Linked DNA regions of Oryctolagus cuniculus. Each later gene encodes a partner of the first gene's protein in a complex. Links are inferred from orthologs where the notes say so. Each region holds a gene or a part of one and is shown in the gene's direction. Other genes may lie near its edges. The genes, in order: GLI1 and SUFU.

Region 1 (4,563 bases):
AGTTCACATCCTATATCTAAGTCCCTGGGTTCAAGTCCCCAGTGAGAGACTTGGATTGCGTTCCCAGCTTGCATTTTGGGAATGAATCAACAACAAAGGTTAGGAGCTCTGGGTCTCTGTCTCTGCCCCTGAAACAAGCTGATAAATGAGTCCTAGGAGAAAGGACACCCGGCTGGGACAGGAGCAAGACTGGAGTCTCTTCCCGGTGACCATTGGTGCGGCCTGAGCGAGCTGGGCAGGCCCTCGACCCTCTGGGTGACACTGTGCGGGAGGCAGGCTGCACGGGACCTCCCCCACCCCCAGTGACTCCTGTGGGGCCCAGACCTCCCCTTGCTTCGCCTGGTCTTCCCCTCCCTGGACCCCCCAACCCGACTGTTAACAGGCCCTCACTCTCAGTCCAAGTAGATGGCTCCTGGACGCAGAGCTAAGGTGTGCCAGGTCTGCCAGGGAGGTCACAGAACCGGGAAGGGAGTCTTCCTCTTCCCCAGGACGAAATAGCTGCCCCCTCCCCGCCATCCGGTCACCACGGCAACACAAACCCAGAGGGACAGGGCACTCCTCCGTCAGGGGGGCACTCCCGCAGGGTGCCAGCAGCCTCTGCCGCTGGGCCCCGCCGCTTCTCTGGGCTCCTAACTGGGCTTTGGGGGAGGCAGCTGTCTGGGCGCGAGCTCCGTGGGTCCTCCCGGTCTCCTCCGCCTCCAAACGCAGAGAGGGTGTCATGTGCAAGCAGGGCCAGCAGAGGGAGCAGGAAGCCTTGGAGAGCGTAAAGAGCGCGGGCGGCAGAGAGGTGCGGAGGTGGCCGCAGCCTGCAGAGGTTCGAGGTGGAGAGGGCGTTTCCTGGGAAAGGTGCTGCAGACCCACGGCTCCTTAGCGACACTGTGGAGGCGCACCTCGCACGCAGAGCCTCGGCCGCTTCTCCTCTCCTTTCTACTCCGTAGACCCCGAAACTTTCTCCAGAGCCCCCCACCAAGCTCCTCAGCTCGGTTTGCCCCAACCCCAACTCTCCCAGAGGATTAGACCTGCAGATAAACCACAGGGTGGCGGGATGCTCAGTTCGCATCCGTCAGTGTGGACGACCCTGCCTCGAACATGATCTTTGCCAGATGAACTTCTCTCTTTTTCCCCCGCCTCGCAATATTTCCCTCGGTCTTTCTGGCTCTGGCTCAGGACCACTTCGTGGACAGCCGATCCGCAGATCCAGACCGGGATTTTCCGCCCACCACCAGCAGCGTGTTCGGGGGGGGGGGGGGGGAGGCAGTATAGGGTCCCTCAAGGGAGGGGGAGGATCCTGGGGGTCCTGGGGGTGCAATAAGCCCGGCACCCCCTCTCTCGCTCCTAGCCACCCCGCCTCACCCTCCAGAACGGCAGGAGGGAGGGAGATAGGAGGGAGGCGAGGGGCGAGCGGGAAGAGAGGCGGCGCGCCAGCGGCTAGAGCGAGGAAAAGTTTTTGCAAAAGGGAAAAAAAAAAGTTTGCGCTTCTCGCGGGTGGTCCCGGCTCGCGGCCCGGCTGGCTGGGCCGGCGGGAGGGCTGGGGGGCCAGGTTGGGGGGTGGGGGTGGCACCGAGGCTGCGCTGCCGTGGCCCTGTCCGCCCCCCCTCCCCACCGCACACCCCCCAGCCCAGACTCCTGCCCTGGACCGCGCATCCCGAGTCCAGCGCCCAGACGGAGGTGAGAAGGGGGGCGGGCGGGGGACCACCTGGGAGCGGTGGGGGAGGGGGATGCTCTGCTTCCGAGGGGTTCACCCCGGCCTGGAGGGAGACCTGGGGTGCAGGGGCAGAATGGGGGTGGGCGAGCCCGGGGTGAGTTGTTAGGAAGTCTGAGGGAATTTTTTTTTCCCGTTTGTATCTCTTCATTCCCTTCTTTTTTTCTTCTGACAGTCTGCGTGTCTCTGTCTCGGGCAACCGTGGGTCTCTTTGTCTCCGCCACTCCCCTGTGTTAGAAACATCTCACTTTCTTGAGGCTGGAGGGGTGGCTGTCCTGGGGTCTGCGGGGTGGAGCGGGAACTCCAGGTAGCATCTTGAGTGCCAGGCATGAGGACGTCGGGGCACCCCAAAGGAGGGCGCTCCAGGTGGGGTGGGCTTAGGTGTGTGTGAGGCAGCAGAACCACGGGGAGCCTGCTGGGCCTGAGCCCCCGACCTGCTGTGACCGATGTGCCTGCAGATGCGGGACGCGAGTGTCTTCCGGACTAGGCCGGGAGCTGGCGGGGCTGCCCAAGGTCTAACTAGGCCTTAGAAAGACCCCAAAGAATTTTGGGCTCCCGAGCCTCTAGGGCTATGGGGCAGGCCGCTTAAGAGGAGCTGGGGAGACCTTTTCTTGACCCTCTGACCTCTGGACCACCGGGGCAGCTGAAGCCAGCCGCCGGGAGACCCCTACTGGGGCTGGGCGGGACCACCGGCCACTGCCAGCCTATATATCCCGCTTGGCCCCCCGCCCAAACGGGAGCTGCGAACCCAAGCCCCTCCTCTGGCTCAGACCACCCTGCCTGCCCTGGCTCCCCGCTCTGAAGCCTCTTTCAGGCCCCTTGACCCCGAAACAATCAACCCTGGGTAGCCAGCTTTGGGGGCAGGATTAGAGAAAGGGGACCCCGTAGTGGCGGAGGACTGAGGGTTTTAGGGGGCTGGCGAGCTAGGGTCTTCCTAGCATAGGCCCGAAAGTTCCAGTGGAGGGCGAAGACCTGGCCGTTTCCCGGGGAGACGCGAAGGCCGGCGTCAGGGTGGTTTTCCCTAGGGGGGCGGGGTCCCGAGACCCCCCCTCATTATCTCCCCGGCATCCCCGCCCGACGCGCAGACCCCGCCCTTGACGTCACTAGGGGGTTCCCGGGGGTCCGAAAGGGTTAACCCTTGGGCTGCCGGGAACCCGAGGTGTTCACACACACACACACACACACACACACACACCTTGTTTTATTTACTCCCACTCTTTCCCCTCCCTATACTCTAAGGATTCTCTTGCTTTGCCACCCCACCACGGGGATCCCCACTCTCCAAAAGTGCTCCCCAGGGCGCCGCTGCCTGCTTTCGGGATGCACGGAGAGGAGGAGGAGGGAAGAATGTGTCCCGCCCCTCATCCCCCCCCCCCCCCACACACACTGTACGGCTCGCTCGACTGGGCTCCCGGGGCGGGCGGGGGAAGCGGAGCCGTCTGCAGCCAGAGCCTGCGGCGGCGACTTGGGTGGGCCGAGGAGGCACGGGGGCGGGGAAGGCGGGACCGGGGAAGGGGGCGGGGCCGGCTCCTGGGAGTTGGGGAGCGGGGGTACGAGGGGGCACTCTGGCAAGCCGGGCTCCGGCGCGGGATCCGGGGAGATCCCCACCCCACCCCACCCCACCCCACCCCGCACCCTCACCCACTCCCAAGTGTCCCGGAGCTGGGAAAGCGGGCGGCGACCTTGTGCTTCCACTAGTGCGAAGGGGAGACGTGGGTGGGCCGCGGCACGCGTGGGCGGGGAGGGATGTCGCCCCGTTTCCAATTGCGCCTGCCTGGCGGCTAGGCGCTGAGGCAGGAGGACCACCGCGTGGGCACGTTTTGGGGAGTCTCGTTGGCGTTGGGGGGGGTTCCTTGACGAGTCCGCCTCCTTTCCCTGGGTGAGTCATAGAGGAAGGAGGCGGGAGACGGGCCCCCCCACCCAGCTGCCAGCCAGCTGTGCCCCCCGCCTCCAACTTGAGTGCCAAGGTCGAGTTGGGAGGTCCCCGGTGCGGGATCCGGGGGTCGGCTGAAGGAGGAGGAGTTAGGAAGGGTACGGCCCTGGTTGCGGGGCTCGGGCCGGGTCTTGGGGTCCGAGTTCCGCTCCCCGTGTTACCCCTCCCTCACCCTAAATCCCAGCATCCCGGGATCACCCACCGCGCCGGCCGGCCCGCTCCTGGTGGCTCTCCACCCCGCCCCGCCCCGCCCCGCCCCACCCTCGCTCCCGGAATCCCGGAAAACCCGGGGTGGAGTATGAACCGGAGTTTGAGGAGAAAAGCAGACAGCAGCACCCGCTTCTTCCTCACTACTTTCGAGTGGCTGATGAGTTTGTTTTTCATTCTCCTTAATGCCTTCCCTCAGAGTTCTTTTCCTGTTCCCCAAAAACCAGACACCGAAAGGCTAAGTGGGCCCAGATCCAAACCACGGCAGGACAATGTCAGCTTCTGTCCTGCATACCTACCAGCCCCGGGAGGCTCCCCCAGAAGCCTGACCTACTCCTACTCACAGTTCTCCACCTAAGAGAGCCCTAGCTCTTCAGTGCTCGCTCCTGACCCCGCCGGCCTGTCTGGACTGTGGCGAGGGCTCCTCCTGCTGGATACTGGGGAGACTGTAGGCTGTCCGTGCGTGGGGGCCAGTGAAGGAAAGGAGGCGAGCCTCCTGGGGCTTAGGTCAGACCCTCCCTAAGTGCCCGCAGCCCAGCCTTCAAAGCTGGCTCCCTGTCAGAGCAAGAAGCAGAGGGCCCACAGCATGAAAATCACCTGGAGCTCGAACAGGCACGATTAGTCCATAACACCCCCTAACCACACATACACACTTATGGGGGTTAACGCTCAGACCCAGTTACCAAAAAGATCTCCAAGACTGCAAGAAGGCCTTTATCCC
Region 2 (3,797 bases), on another chromosome or scaffold:
CTCTGGTGGGCCCAGGACCATGGCCAGGGAGCCCCACTGGTCTCCAGTCTGACTGCTTGGTTGCCACACCATCCTCGTTTGCTGCTGAAGTTGTCTCCTCGGTCCAGAGGAAGCTTCAGCGACCAAGGAAGTCTCAGATACTCCCAGCCACCCAAAGCCTGGGGTCTGGATGGCAGGGTCACCAGCACTGGGCTGTCAGGGTGAGGCTTCTGGTACGTTGGGCTCTGTTTTCTCCTGCTTGCTGTTTTCTCCATGCAAAACACTAAGTTCCTCAAGGCTGGTGGCCGGCCCAGCAGACTTCTTAAGGGACCAGGGAGTCCAGTTGTGTCCCTTCGCCTGCTGTCCTTGCCAGAAACCCAGCCCTGCGACCAGAGTCCAGTGTCCCACTCGGGGACACTACATTGGCTGAATCTATTGCAGCCGATGGCTTCCTCCACAGCCCTCTGGGCCCCACCCTCACTGATGGCAAGAGAGGCGGTTAGAATAGCTCTGAACACAAAGAACGGTGACGAAGAAGAAGGGGTTGCAGTTTGGACCCTCCCCACCATCCCTGGAGCCTGTAAGAGAGTTTGAAAGGGACCAGCCTAGTCCAGCCACCCTGAGCAGCAGAGCTAGAAGTCAGTGTGGGACAGACCTGACAGGCCCACCGCCAGCCATGTCCTCCCCTGCTGCCTCACTGGCCCGGGCTTGGAGCTGGTGAAGGGTTAATCAGCGGCTGCCTGAGAAAGCAAAATGCCAGCTTTGCTTCCTTTGCTGACTGGCGCCTGTGGCCCACTAGTTGTCCCTGCCTGCCCTTCCCCCAGGTGTATTTCCAGACTGAGAGCTAACAGTAGTTTCCGATGGCTCCCTCAGAGTGACCCCACTTGGCTTCAGCTTTTTTAAAAACTGGGTTGGGCCTTTGGGAGAGCCTGTAACTGCTATGAGAAAGTGCCGAAGCAGGTGAAGAGTCCACCAGGCACTGTGTGTGACCAGTCCTACTGTGAAGGCACTACCACACCTCCAGTCCCCCAAGCAAGGGGATGTGAATTCCCTCTTAGCCCTGGGCATTACCCTGGGCACAACCCTGTGCACAATGCTGACTTCGCTGTCTGGCCTCAGGTCCGTCACCAGCACCCTGGGCAGCGGGCTCCACTACCTGTGCAGGCCCTCTGACTCTGACCTAGTGCTCTGCTGGCCTTGAGCTCTTTGGAAGGATGATGTTAGAGGATGTGTAGGAAGGGCCTCTCCCATGAAGGTGGAGAAAGCAATGTGTCTGGTTACAGCCCCCTCTTCCTGGGCAGGTGGCAGTTTGGTCTCATTTGTCAGACTCCCTGTCCGAGGGAGCATGGTCCCAGACCTTTGGCCAGGCCACTGCACTTGGGCTGTTTCCAGGCCCAGCTCCTTACTGTCTCCATGTTCCCCCAGGGGCAGGCTCCTGCATGGACGGCACTTTACGTATAAAAGTATCACAGGTGACATGGCCATCACGTTTGTCTCCACGGGAGTGGAAGGCGCCTTTGCCACCGAGGAGCATCCTTACGCGGCCCATGGACCCTGGTTGCAAGTGAGAAGGCTCTTTTTCTCCCCTCTCTTTCCGTAGGCTCTTCCTTGCCCTCCTCTCCCTTGGCAGCTCTTAGCCAGGCCCATTCCTGAGGCTGCTGATGAGTACCTCTTGGGCTCAGAGGTTGAGGCCTGTATGTGGGTGTGGAGTGTGGATGCCACTGCTTATCCCAGCAGCCCCAGGGCCACTTCCTGGCCTCTTCCCTCATCATACAATGAGACCCCAGTGATAACTCTCCAGGCCCTGGCCATTGGTAATCCAGGTTTCCCACCTGGGTATACCAAGGTACAGGTGAGGCAAGATGGGGAGGATGGATGACAGCCACTCTGCAGGAGCTGCATGGAATTCACAGGAAGTGGGCATGTGGACCTGGACCTGGGACTGGGATGGGCGGGCCTTGGTGGTGGGGGCCTCCCTCCCCCAGCCCCCTGCACACACACATCGAATGGCTCTCCCCGTTCCTTCTGATGGAAACCCAGCTGGTCTGAGCAGAAACCTGCTGGCTTGTCCAGAACACTTTGTCCCTCCTCTGCTCTTCTGGCTGGCGCAAGCTTCAGAGTGAATGCCAAGCAGGGTGCTGGGGCCTAAGAACCACTGGCCTCCTTCCAGCCCCCACCCAGGCCCAGGTCTCTGAGGAGTGCTCTGGTCTGGTCTGCCACACTCCAAGTATATTGGAGGGACAGCATCCTTTTTTGGCTTTTGTTTGTTTGTTGGGAATGGGGGAGAAAAGAATATTTTGCTTCTCTCAGGAGTATCAAGAAAGAGAATCTGACCCTAATCCAAAAGGTACCTGTGCCTTATTTGTGGTGTGCTGAAGGGGACACTGGGTGGGGGAAGGGGGTGGTATGGTAGAGGGGAAAAGAATTATGCTGGCTTTGTGGGTTTAACCCAGTCTGGGATCTGCAGAGCGCCTCTGCTCTTCATATGGCCTTACTTTTAGTCCCCGTCTATCTGCTTACAGCAGAGTTTCTCAGCCTGCAGGCCAGTCCTCACCCCACCCCCACCAAAATACTAACCCTTAATTAAAACAAACAGCAAACAGAGGACACCAACCACACTCCCCAGACTAAGCCGAGGTAGAAATGGAAGCTAGTGCTTTAGGGATATTGTGTTCCATAAATTATCTTGCCTTTTTCCACTGTTGTTATTACATTGTTTCATAACAAAATTACTTTGAACCATAAAGTTATAAATACATTTTAAAAGTCCCACTTGGTAACATTAGATTTCTGTCCATGTGGTGTTGGTAGTTACTGTAGCAAAAGCTCCAAAGTGTAACATTTGAAATTAGCCCAGCACAAGTGGGAAGGGCCTCCCTTGGCCCCTGCTCTGCCCCCAACCCCCACAGACCCAGCATTGCCCCTGCAGAGCAGGAGGGAGCAGCCCTCCCCAGCCGGGCTGAGCTGATGAGGAGGTAGGAGGTGGGCACTGTACAGGAGACCCAGCCCTGGGAGGTCACGGGTCCTCACTCCTGGGGCAACAGAGTGCTGACAGGTCTCAGCAGAAGTGTACAAGGATGGCATGTGTGTTTACTGAAGGCTCAAGCACATTTTCTTGGAAAAGTGAGGGCTGGGATCTCCCCAAACCCAAGAATAAATATCCCCCAGTGACGTTTCATATCCTCAACTCTGACCCTGGCCTTGGAGTTCTGCCACCCCTTGGAGGGTCTCCCTGCCCTAAAGAGAGTGATCAGCAGCTCTGGTTAGTAGCATCCCAGGAGCCTTGGCACCCAGAGGACTCAGCAGTGCCCCTTAGTCCCTCTAAAGCTTCTGGGCCCCTGCTCCCCTGGCTGCCAGTGTCCCCCTCCCATCACCACAATGCCCTCACCTCCCTGGCAGCCCCTGTGTAAGCTGCAGAGATCAGCACCCGCAGACTCCCCAGCGCTCGGTCCCCTCCCATGGGCTGTTGCCCAGGGAACCGGGGAGCGGTGGGAACGGAGCTGCTGTTTCAATAAAGTTGCTGTGCTGGGAGCTGCTTGATCAAAGGCCCATGTTATGGGCTCATTAGTGTGGTCCACCACGGGGCCAGATCGCAGGAGTGCTCCTGGGAAGGCTGGCTACAGCCCCACTCCCCAAGCACACACCCGGATCACTGAGGGGTTTCTCAGGCCCTTTCCAGGGAACCCTGGGAAACCTTCTGACCCTGCCCCCAGCCAGCAGGATTCTCAGCAGGGGAGCCAACACTCACCCCTGTCTCCTCCCCTCCGCCCCCCAAGCAGTCAGCATTTTCTGCATTTGTCTGCCAGCCAGGCTTCCCC

Evidence for each region.
Region 2: the proteins of GLI1 (region 1) and SUFU are in contact, whole or in part, in a crystal structure (PDB 4KMD), measured with the Homo sapiens proteins. The link is inferred for Oryctolagus cuniculus from reciprocal best matches to the Homo sapiens genes GLI1 and SUFU. Residues at the interface, in NP_005260.1 of Homo sapiens: Gly119, Ser120, Tyr121, Gly122, His123, Leu124, Ser125, Ile126, Gly127; in NP_057253.2 of Homo sapiens: Leu144, Tyr147, Asn153, Thr154, Phe155, Gly158, Asp159, His160, Val161, Ser162, Trp163, His164, Gln212, Asn265, Leu266, Ser267, Gly268, Val269, Ser270, Ala271, Glu376, Leu380, Lys398.

What each region holds. Positions count from the first base shown.
Region 1 is NC_091442.1:60,086,316-60,090,878, forward strand, and holds the start of GLI1 (zinc finger protein GLI1), read left to right. Parts: upstream 1-1,537; 5' UTR 1,538-1,668; intron 1,669-4,563. UniProt on the Homo sapiens protein: Acts as a transcriptional activator. Binds to the DNA consensus sequence 5'-GACCACCCA-3'. Regulates the transcription of specific genes during normal development.
Region 2 is NC_091446.1:27,362,176-27,365,972, reverse strand, and holds part of SUFU (suppressor of fused homolog), read left to right. Parts: intron 1-1,404; coding exon 1,405-1,543; intron 1,544-3,797. UniProt on the Homo sapiens protein: Negative regulator in the hedgehog/smoothened signaling pathway. Down-regulates GLI1-mediated transactivation of target genes. Down-regulates GLI2-mediated transactivation of target genes. Part of a corepressor complex that acts on DNA-bound GLI1.